Linked DNA regions of Danio rerio. The protein of the gene in region 3 interacts with the protein of the main gene of each other region in a biochemical or structural test. Links are inferred from orthologs where the notes say so. Each region holds a gene or a part of one and is shown on either strand. Other genes may lie near its edges. The genes, in order: smad3a, snw1 and skib.

What was found.
Region 1: the proteins of skib (region 3) and smad3a form a complex in vitro, tested with the Homo sapiens proteins (8 studies listed by BioGRID and IntAct). The link is inferred for Danio rerio from reciprocal best matches to the Homo sapiens genes SKI and SMAD3.
Region 2: the proteins of skib (region 3) and snw1 form a complex in vitro, tested with the Homo sapiens proteins (2 studies listed by BioGRID). The link is inferred for Danio rerio from reciprocal best matches to the Homo sapiens genes SKI and SNW1.

What each region holds. Positions count from the first base shown.
Region 1 is NC_133182.1:34,183,005-34,186,143, forward strand, and holds the end of smad3a (mothers against decapentaplegic homolog 3a), read right to left. Parts: intron 1,958-3,139; coding exon 1,834-1,957; 3' UTR 622-1,833; downstream 1-621. UniProt on the Homo sapiens protein: Receptor-regulated SMAD (R-SMAD) that is an intracellular signal transducer and transcriptional modulator activated by TGF-beta (transforming growth factor) and activin type 1 receptor kinases.
Region 2 is NC_133195.1:5,549,554-5,553,683, forward strand, and holds the start of snw1 (SNW domain-containing protein 1), read right to left. Parts: upstream 2,842-4,130; 5' UTR 2,830-2,841; coding exon 2,816-2,829; intron 1,336-2,815; coding exon 1,182-1,335; intron 94-1,181; coding exon 1-93. UniProt on the Homo sapiens protein: Involved in pre-mRNA splicing as component of the spliceosome. As a component of the minor spliceosome, involved in the splicing of U12-type introns in pre-mRNAs.
Region 3 is NC_133186.1:27,900,244-27,904,568, forward strand, and holds the start of skib (v-ski avian sarcoma viral oncogene homolog b), read right to left. Parts: upstream 2,906-4,325; 5' UTR 2,578-2,905; coding exon 1,681-2,577; intron 1-1,680. UniProt on the Homo sapiens protein: May play a role in terminal differentiation of skeletal muscle cells but not in the determination of cells to the myogenic lineage. Functions as a repressor of TGF-beta signaling.

The DNA.
Region 1 (3,139 bases), on a different chromosome or scaffold from region 3:
GTTTGTTATAAAGTATTCTGTGCTGGAAGGCATGGTTCAGTGCCTAGGACAAATCTGGATATCAACATTTAACGTTGAGGGACAACTTGATCAGCCATATTAGTTTGGGGATTCAACGTTTGAACAGAATTATAAAACAAGAGAAAGAAGTCAAAGACTGTCTTTCCTTCTTTCTTTATTTTTTCTTTCTTTCTTTTAAAGGGACAGTTCACTCAAAATGAAACTTCTATCATCGTTTACTCATTCTCCACTTGTTCCAAACTTGTTTGAGTTTCTTTCTTCTGGTAAACACCAGAAGAAGATATACTGAAGAATGTACGGAAAAACAGCTCTTGACTTTTATAGTATTTTTTGTTTGTACAGTGGATGTAAAGCGCTATTTTCCCCAACATTCTTCAGAATATCTTGTTTTGTGTTCAACAGAAGAAACCATTTATAAAAGTTTGAAACCACTCAAATGTGAGTAAAGAGGTAAAAACGTTTTTTTTTTAAACGTTTTTTTATGCAAATTTTCCCTTCAAGAAGAACATCTCAAACTTTTAATGTGTATTCAACATTAATTTAGGGATTCAATGTTTGAACAGAATTCTTAAAATAAAGAAAAAGGACTCAAAGTCTTTCTTTCTTTCTTTCTTTCTTTTTTAAAGGGACAAAAAATGAAACTTCTGTCATCGCTTACTCATTATCCACTCATTGTTACAAACTTGTTTGAGTTTCTTGCTTCTGCTAAACGCACGAGAAGATATACTGAAGAATGTAGGAACGAAACAGCTCTTCACTTTTATAGTATTTTTTGTTTGTACAGTCAATGTCAAGGGCTGATTTTCCACCAAAATTCTTCAGAATATCTTGTTTTCAACAGAAGACAAAATTCATAAAGGTTTAGAACCACTTGAGTGTGAGTAAATTATTTGAAAATTTTCATTTTTATGTAAAGTATCCCGTCAAGAAGAATGTCAAACTCTTGATATGTATCAGATATTAATTTGGGGATTCAATGTTTGAGTAGAATTCTAAAAAAAAAAAAGAAAAATGAGTCAAAGAGTTTCTTTCTTTTTCTTCTTTCTTTCTTAAAACAGTTCACCCAAAAATGAAACTTCTGTCATCGTTTACTCATTCTACATTTGTTCCAAACTTGTTTGAGTTTCTTAAATCTGTTAAACACAAAGAGAGATAAATGCAGGGGATACAACGGCTGTTGATTTTTATAGTTTTTTTTATTTGTACAATGAATGAGGGCTACTTTTCCCCCATCATTTCTTAGAATATCTTTTGTGTTCAACAGAAGAAATCCATTAAAATTTGGAACCACTTGAGTTTGAGTAAATGTTCACTTGATTTAAAATGTTCATTTTATGTAAACCATCCCTAACTAAAGAATGTCAAACTCTTGATATGTATTAGACAACATTATACATTGGGCCAGATTTGTGTTGTTTTGATTTAACCGAAATTTGTAAAAACGACATATCTACACTTTACAAAAAAAGCACTTTTTATCACGCCTCTAAAAAAATAAGCCTCTGTTATGGTAATTCTAACATAACAGCATCAGAAAAGACATGACAGAGAAGAGATATCTCACATAGACATGCTATATAACAAAATATATCATAAATGGCAATATTTCATGGCAATAAAAATGGCTAACAATAACATAAAAAAACAAGTATGTACTGTACATATACTGTAATAATACAATGTCTCCAACATTGAAACAAACACATGTGAAAGTGCTACCGAGTCTGTAATCTCCAGCCTTTGAGTCCTGAAGGAACTTTTTCCAGATCTGGTGGTTTGTATATGTTGAGTTTGTGCAGTCTTTTTTTCTTCCTATGACACACTGGAGCAGCGGATGGAGGGGGAGCCCATCTGAGTGAGTACTTTGTCCAGCCACTGCAGAGGCCCGTTAAGGTGCAGCTCTATCCAGCAGGGGGTGCTAGTCACTGTCTGCCGCCTGACGCCATTAAAGAGAGAGAGAAATAATTAGAAATCAGAATGCCGACACAATGTGCAAAACTATGAATACACTTAGCCATATTCAAATATATGTACTGCATCAGATCAGTGTAATCTAATCATCTACAGACAGCCTAACTTAATAAAATCTGAAAGGTATATGATTTTATTTAGGCCAAATGAAGTGGAAAGGGGCTGGCTTGAATGCTTGTAAAGGCAAGCTCCAAAAAATGAAATGTATTTCTTGCTGCTTGAATTTGTTTATATAAATCATTACATAATTAACATTATAAGAGAAAATATGACTGTGACAGGCATCAGTTTTGCAGTAAATTAAAGTTATGGCTCAAGTATTTCATTCATTCATTCATTTTCTTTTCATCTTAGTCCTTTTATTATTCCGGGGTCGCCACAGTGCAATGAACCGCCAACTTATCCAGCATCCAATGATAAGCACATTTGCCAATTTAAGTTATAAGCACTTAAGTATGAAGCAAGTGTAGGAAAAGTCACAACATTTCATGTCAATAAGATCAATGCAAATTTACAAAACAAATAAATAAGACCAAAAACCAGCACCTGAGTTAACCACTTAGTTTAAATGTATTATTATTATTCATTCATTCATTTTCTTTTCGACTTAGTCCCTTTATTAATTTGGGGTCCCCACAGTGGAATGAACCACCAACTTATCCAGCATATGTTTTACACAGCGGATGCCCTTCCAGCTGTAAACTATCACTGGGAAACATCCATACACGCTTATTCACTGTGAACAATTTTTAGCCTACCCAATTCACTTGTACCACATGTCTTTGGACTGTGTGGGAAACCGGAGCACCCGGAGGAAACCCACGCAAACACGGGGAGAACATACAAACTCCACACAGCCGGGGTTCGAACCTGTGACCTTCATGCTGTGAGGTGACAGCGCTACCCTTTGTGCCACCGCGTTGCCTATTATTATTATTATTATTATTATTGCCACAGCCATATCACCATGCAGCCTAAGACCGGTTACTCACTGAAGCTAAGCAGACCTGTGCCAGGTCAGTACCTGCATGGGAGACCACATAGGAAAAACTAGGTTGCTGTTGAAAGTGGTATTAGAGAGGCCAGCAGGGGACGTCCTAATGCCCCAGTAAAAGTGAAGGGGACACTGTACTGTCAGTGAGGTTGA
Region 2 (4,130 bases), on a different chromosome or scaffold from region 3:
TGCCAGAGCATTGGACGTCCTTTTCTTCCTACCCATTTCCAGAGGATACTGGGCAACATGGATCTCTGGAAAAGCTCCTCCATCTCCAAAGTCCTTTAAAAGAAATATCATTCATTCATTTATTTATTTATTTATTTATTTTCCTTCAGTGTAGTCTCTTATTTATCAGGGGTCAAGACCGCGGATTGACAAGCCAAAAGAAATATCATAACACTTATTATTACCGTTTGTTAATTCACAGTAAAATTATGACATCAGAATACAACTATTCATAATTCTAAAGTTGAATTATTATGTTTGAGACAAGTGCTTGCCATTTGTCATTGACAACATCATTAGAACATTTTTACTGGTAAAATGAGACATTTGTCATTATCAGACTCCTTCTTGCATTATATTTATCATTATATAGGCTAGGGTAGTTATCCTGACATAGCAAACATTCATTTTCATGCACAACACTGTGTTCACTATGAAAGAAAAAAAACATATCAAATGTTTGTTGTAATCAGAACTGTAAAACGCGTTATGATTATATAAATGATTTGCAAGCCGACTTTACTTTCACTTCCGAGTGCGGCTAATGCCTGCAGTCACTCTGAGAAAACAATACACACATGCAAATCTTTCTTTTAGCACGACTCTCAAACGATCGTTCTGTGCAACAAACTGAACGTTATTTACAACTTTATTACATGTTTTTCACAGCCTATGCAGGTTCTGTTCACTAAAGGAGGAGTCATTTTTGTACACGTGCGTGTTCTCGGTAGTAAACAAACAGGTTGCGGTCATTACATCATTACATTTCGACAGTAATGACATTTCTGGGAGAATTATACCTTATAAATATAGTATGTGACACTTTTAACACCATTTGAAGGTGTCAATATTGCTGTGAAGGCTTGTGCGACTGCCTTTACGCTTCTGTCCTGACCTTGAATTGGCTGAATCGTAGAAAAGCTGAATTAAGATCGTGTGTAGGGTCAAATCGAGATCATGATCTTTTTTTCGATTAATCGTGCAGCCCTGATCAGGCCCACTTGCAACCACACTTTCTAAATACACTGGATATGTCATGTGGTCTTATCACTTGACTATTTACAAATGCGGGTATTGGAACAAGCCCATAATGCAGCAGGATATATGACAGCTATCAGCACGTAATGTTTAATTGTTAGTACCTCTAGAGCCCGGGGTACCCATGACTTTCTGAAGCCGTAAGGAGGAGGGTCTCTGCGGGTGGAGACCAAAGCAGTGGACTGGGATCTGTATGCCTGAGACCTCTCCTCTGCCTCCAGCTGGTCCTGGGACAGTTGGGTGGGCGCAGGAAGAAAACTAAAAGAGAATGGGGAAAAGAGCCAAGTCAGATTAAGAGATGTGCAATCTAATAATTTCTTTTAAAAGTCTATCCTATGTGGTGTCACAAAATACATTATTAACAGTAATACTTTTTCAGAATTTTAATGATTTTATGTTTTTATTTTATTTTAATATTACACTACATTATGAGGATGTGGACAAAAACATGAATAACAGCACTGTGTGAAAGTTGCAATCTTAAAAAAAAAACATCTAAAAATATTTCAATTTTATTATTTGAGATGTATTTTTGAAATGTTTTGCCTTTATTAAACAGTAAATCAGAATGACAGGAAGATAAGTGAGAGAGAAGTTCAGGAAAGGTCCACAAGCCTCGAACTCGGGACACCATGAGCACTGTACACTAAACCACTGGGCAATTTTTAGTTTATATTTATACATTCATCATGACGTTATGAATAAAGTAAAGAAAATGATGACTTATGATGAAGTTTGATTTTTGTCTAATGGCCCAGCCCTAGCCAGGATGACATATTATTAAACCATCAGCTAACAATTGAGGTAAGGTTTGTTTTATATTCACACATTCAGACTTTCTCCTTAATAATACAATTTAAGAAAAGTATTCTTTGCAAACTCTACATAAGAAACCATATAAGCCAAGCAATCACCGACTATCAAGGTATACCATTGCACAATCAAAATAAATTGTGCTAATGTTGCTTTCGAGTCATACTTGTATATGATTAAAGACTGAATATTCAAAGTATCATGATAAACAATATAGGGAGCATGTCATAAGTTGACACTAAACAGAATGTGCGTATATAAAACCAACTTTACTGCAATGTAGATGCAAAATTCAACCTATATTCATTGGAACGTGGGTGATTGATGTTGAAACAGTGGCTCGATCTCACGTGAAAATATTATTGCATTAATAGACTAACGTTATTCGAATGGCCTCAATTGTAACATTACGTCAAAAAAAAAAGTTAATGCTACCTAACGTTAAGCATTAAGAGCCACAAACACAGCCGTCTCTTGGGGGTGAGCAGAGCTATGAGTGTGTTGGAATAGTGCATATGTACACTGATAAATAAAATTGCTACGACGATGATAAATAACGTTAGCCTAACGTTACACATTACATCCAGGAATAAATATATATTTTTAAAGTTATAAATAGCTTTTATATAAGCAATTATAATGAATAAAAACATAATAATGAGATATTCAAAGTCCATTTATCTTTTAAATATGTTATTATTTGCTTTTGCTGTGGCTGTAGCTTTAGCTTAGCATTCACTATTATACAAAGACCACAACACAGCAGGCCTCATCGTCTCACATAACACAACTTGGGTAATAACTAACACAGAGTTTTCACAAACTGTAAATGTACATACATGAAAAACACATGTACGCTTTTAAATTGAGTTTCAACACATAAATTGAAGCATAAAACCTTAAAAACAGCTTCTCTGCGTCTTACCTCGTAAGCGACATCTTGGATTCTGTGCGTTCTGACGTCACTCTACTGTCTCATAACTTCTCGCGATGTTTAGAGAATTAAGGGATTAAGCGCTGTCAAAACTGTATAAAGAGGATAATATACAGTTTAGCGTTTTATAGGCTTTATATGTATCGAATATATCTATACATTCTATATATACCTATCTAAACTATAAAGTATAGACTATACATTAGCCTACAATCTTCTGACAGCACATATCATGTGGAAATACCACTTATGGCAAGCCGTTTTAACATTTAAGCTATAACGCATACTAGTAGTATATTATTATGTTACTAGTGATTATTTTTAGATACTAGTATCTTTTCCTTCAACTGTATTAGATAGTGCTTATTTATTAGATACTAGTGCCTATTCTTTAGATAATTGTGCCTCCCCTGTAGAAAAATCCAGCTTAAACCAGCCTAGGCTGGTTGACTGGTTTTAGCTGGTCGACCAGCCTGGTTTAGAGGGGTTTTGCCCATTTCCAGGCTGGCTTCTAGCTATTTCCAGCCTGGTTTTAGCTGGTCAGGTTGGGAAATGACCAGCTAAAACCAGCTTGACCAGTCTAGCCAGACTGGGAGTCCAGCCAAAACCAGCTATGTCCAGTTTAAACCAGGCTGGTCAGGCTGGTATTAGCTGAATTTAACTGGTCATTTTCCAGCCTGACCAGCAAAGACCAGGCTCGAAATGACTGGAAACCAGCCTGCAAATGGCCAAAACCCCTCTAAAGCCTCTTTTCCCTGTGTTTATTACCAATCCAGAATCCTAAAATCTATGCTACATAATTGCACCTTACAGAATCTATTATACAAAATCTTGTCTTGGTGACAGCATTGACAGCCTCATGAGAGCTTGTATTTCATTTAAACTTGGGGGGAAAGCATTGATATGGCTATAAAACAGTTTAGATATGGCTATAAAACAGATTAGAGATGTGTTAATATCACTTCCTCAGCTAATATCTCTTTCCCATTCATCTGTATTAGCTTTCCAGGATATTTCACTGGTTGAAGACAGATTGTGTGTTAATTCACAGGGCTGCCGAGCTGTGTGCGTATAGCCTTAGAATACTGATGTGTTAGACTCTTACACCCTGTGTTAGCCTTGAGCAATAAGACATATGCAAAGAAGACAGTTACTATTATCTGAGCAAAATGGCCACAAGGGACTTTACGAGCCCTGCCAAATGTCAGATTCCATTTAAAACTATTAACATGTTCTGAAGACCTGCTTTTCAGCTTGACAGACAACTTCTTTCTTTAAAGATAATGGCTCATTTGTAGATGTTTAT
Region 3 (4,325 bases):
TCAGCCATGACAAAACATCAGCCAGCATTTTCATATAGAGAAGCCATTTTTATTAAATATACATGACGCTGCATTTCTAAAATGTGCCATGTCTCTCACATTTCCCACATTAACGAAACTGCATTCGCCACACCATGCATCCCAAGCCCGACGAAGTGACACCATGGTAACACATACATATATGTGTGTAGACCCATTAGCACAATCACACTCAACAGCTGCTGCGTGGAAGGAGCAGCCAGCCCGAGACTGCCATGCTTTTGTCCGCTTGCCGTGTCTCTGACCCTGGTGAGGAGCCTGATCAGACCAAGGGCAGCGCTGACCCCACAACAACTGCTTTTTGGAGATTGACCTCAACCCCAACCTGCCCCCCACCCAAAACACACACACAAAACAATGTCCTACACAGCACCCTTATCCTCCTCCTCCTCGGCTGGCTTCCCCAAGCGTTCCCATCTATCTCTGGCTCCTATAAAATACATAATTGAGGCTCCATTTATCATATGCAGATGGCCCTGAGTGCATCCAGAGGCACAAGACAAATGCACTGGGGAGGTTGGTTGGTGGTCCGACTGTGCACTTTTTTCCCCCAAGATGGCATTGGAAGTCACCAATAGGTCAGTGGTTTTCAGTTGGTCTGTTATGATCTTAAAAAGTTGGTAAAGAATGATGCAAAATGATTCGAAAGGGGGATAAAACTTCCCATGTTTCTGACAGAGGAGAGCTTGTGCTGCATTCAAAAACATATTCTTAAACATAAAGGCTTTATACCAGTGTATGTGCTCCTAATTGGAATCTTTAACATCCATATAACCTTTTTTTATAACCCAGAAAAAACATTTAAGATTACTGGAATGTTCTTTATACAAACAAAATAGGTTTTATTTTAAGAACTGTTCAATAAAAGGGTCTATGGGTATTAAATAGTACCCATTATCCTTATGTTAAAATTGAACAAACAATATAGACTGAAAGGAAAGGCAAGGTTTGCATTGTACAGCGTGTTTGTGCAATGAAACTATTTGACGTGAACCATTTTTTCTTGATTGAATAGCCATTTTAATGTGGTCGCTACTTTAAATCTGAACAGCAAGTAAAACCGCAGCTATAGGACAGTTTTCTGATGTGACACCAAGTGTAATAGGTGTTGTGTGATCATATTGCACCAAAGACAGGAAAAAAGATCAATATATGAAAATCAATAAAGAAAAATTACACAGCAGTAATAAATATATGGGAGTAAAAAATTACACAATAATATGTTTGAAGCACTAGAGGCCAGATTATTACGCTGAGGTCACCTTGTCTCGACTCATTTTAAGTACTTTTTAAATTAATAAATTGTTGGAGATCTAAGGTCCACATGGATGGTCTCAAAACATTTTTGCTTTTACAATAAAAAAAAATTAGTGATCACTACTGTGTATGTTTAAATCTGGGTCTTGTAGAAAAAACTAATTACAAACCACAGATATAGGACATTTTTAGGTGATGGCAAGCTTAATAGGTGGTGTGTGATCAAATTGCGCACAAGACAGTGCAAAAGATCAATACAAAAGTATGAGAATCAATAAAGTAAAATTACACACCATTCATAAACATATAGGAGTAAAATATTGCACAATAACTCTGGAGCACTAGATTTTCATGCAGATTTGCATGTTGAAGGGCTGAGCTCACCTTGTAAGATGTCTTGTGCTTGTTCCCCATTTCAAATTTTCCCTTTAACTCAGTGAGGAGCTGCTGCAGTGTGCTGTTCTCCTCTTTCTCGCTATAGTCTTGATCTAGAAGAATATAAGCCCTCCAGTTGGACGAGTCGAAGCCCCAGTGACAGGTTCTGTTCTCCAGCCTTTTATGACTGTGCACCACGAACTTGTGGGTCGGGAACATGAGCCTGCAGTCCAAGCACTGTATGCACGCCGCGTTGGGGCTGGTGTAGAGTTCGGGTACGAACAGGCCCTTGCACTTCCCAAAGCATTCGTGGTAAACTTTGAAGCTCTTCTCTGTGCGCTCCAGCTCAATGGAGCAGGACAACTCTTTGTCGGCGTGCGGGGGGAACGTGCCGCCGTAGATGAGGGCATTGCAGAGGCGCTCGGCGTCTGTTTGTGTGATGAGTCCGCACGAGGGGGCCGAGAAGGGCAGGATGCCCATAACTTTGAGGATCTCCAGCTGGTCCGCCGTGCACCTGGAGCAGTAGATGTGCAGGTCGTCGCACACAGAGTTGATCTGCTGGAGGGAAAAGTCTCGCAGGACGCTATTGAGGATCTGCGGCAGGCACAGGCGCTTCTCGCCGCCCACCACGAAGCACGAAATAGTCTCCCGCTCCAGGACCGTCTCGCACCTCTCGGTGGAGCGGTCGGACGGGATGAACAGGGGTCCCGGCATGACCGGGGGCGTCTGCGCGGGGAGGTTCACGAGCACCTCGGCGCTCTTACCGTCCTTTTTGAACAGCATGTCCTGCTGCCACCGGGCCGAGAAGGCTGCCGGTCCGCCGAGGGAGCTCATGGAGCTCAAGTGAAACTGCTTGAGAGTTTGCTGAAGTCCTGGATGCGGCTGAAAGCTGGAAGGAGCCTCCATGTTTAAACCTGGGCAGTTTAATCACAACAGATTCATAAATGTGAGTCGCGACAGTCCGTGTCAGTTCCGAAAGCGTAAAACACCGCCTCGTAATCCATTCAACTGCTTCATGTCCGATTCTGTAAGTCGTACCAGAAAGAACCGGAGTTCCGAGCGAGGCGAAAATCCTCCCCCACAAAAAGTGTAAAGTTTTGGTCGAAATGTAATTCTTCAATCCGTGTAAATCACAGTACTCACGCGCAAAATGCGTGGCTGGTGTAAAAGCGCAGTTGCCTCCGCTTTACTATGAGAGTGTGTGCAAGTCTCGCTCTCCCTCTCTCTCTTTCTCTCTCCCTCAGTGTTTGTTTGTGTCTGGTTCAGTCATTGAATCCCGGCCAAGAATGTGACTGACTCCCCGGGCTGGCTGTTCCAGGAGACGCGCCGCCTCCCCCCGCAGCCCGAGCAGCTGCAAAAGCGGGAACACAAACTACACGTAAAGGCGCTGCAGCAAGAGGAGGAGTCTACGTACACGGTCTATAGTAACTTTCATTAATAAACTTTAAAGCTTATACATATGAACAGCAGCGGATTACATACCTTTGAGTGGAACAACCGATAAGTCATTTAATCATTGATGTCAGCTTATGTTTTATTTTGATCGTCTTGCCAAAGTGTTTCAATATTTTACGCGGTGAAAATGAACACTCTTTCTTAATAGATACATTGATTTTTTTTCTAATATAATAATTTTCACACATTTTTATGCATTTTAAAAGGAATAACTATATTTGTATTTTTGTTTTAAATTATTTAAGATTTTAAATAAAATATTACTGTTAAATATATTAATAAAATGACTATTTTTGCATTAATACCTTACATTTAAATTTTAGATATTGGAAATAAATTTATTATATATGATTTTGCATTTAAATATATAATAAATGTTGTCTTATTTACATATTTAAATGATTTTATAAGCACACACTGAGAGATGTTAAAACATGTTAATTAAAATGTATATTAACGCGCAAACACACGCACACACACACACACACACACACTCACACACTATTTAATTTCTGATTTCTAATTTTAATTTTGTAATAAATTTAAATAAATATTTAAATTCATGCAAACTATAACAATGCATCTATTAAAACTTTTATCCAATAAATATATATATATATATATATATATATATATATATATATATATATATATATATATACACACACACACACACACACACACACACACACACACACAAGAAATAAACAATTAAAAACATCTGTTCACTCTCAGATACAAATAAGCTGACATTAAATACAAATTGGAAGTTTTCACTAAAACACTTGATTATCATGTATAAAACAAAACATCTAGAAGAACTAAAAACTCTGCACAGTTATTACCATGTCATAAAGCTACAATAAACCACATGATTGACTGATGAAAATAAAACATTCAAGCTCGCCATATAATATGCTGATATACTACTGTTTGAAGCCACAACTAATTAAAGTTGTTTAAAGTGTTGCACAGTTTTAAACCCAAAAATCTGAAACATTTGGATTGCTTTAGTTTAGGTTATTCAGTGTTGATTTCTTGAGAACAACTGTGCAGTACTGAAAATATTTGCACAAAACCTACTCAACAATAAAAATGCACTTTTATCTCAAAGTGCCGTTATGAGAAATGTTGTAAACTGCAAGAGCAGAGTTTAGTGGAGGCATAACTCAAACGGCTCTGTTTAGATTGGGTGAAAC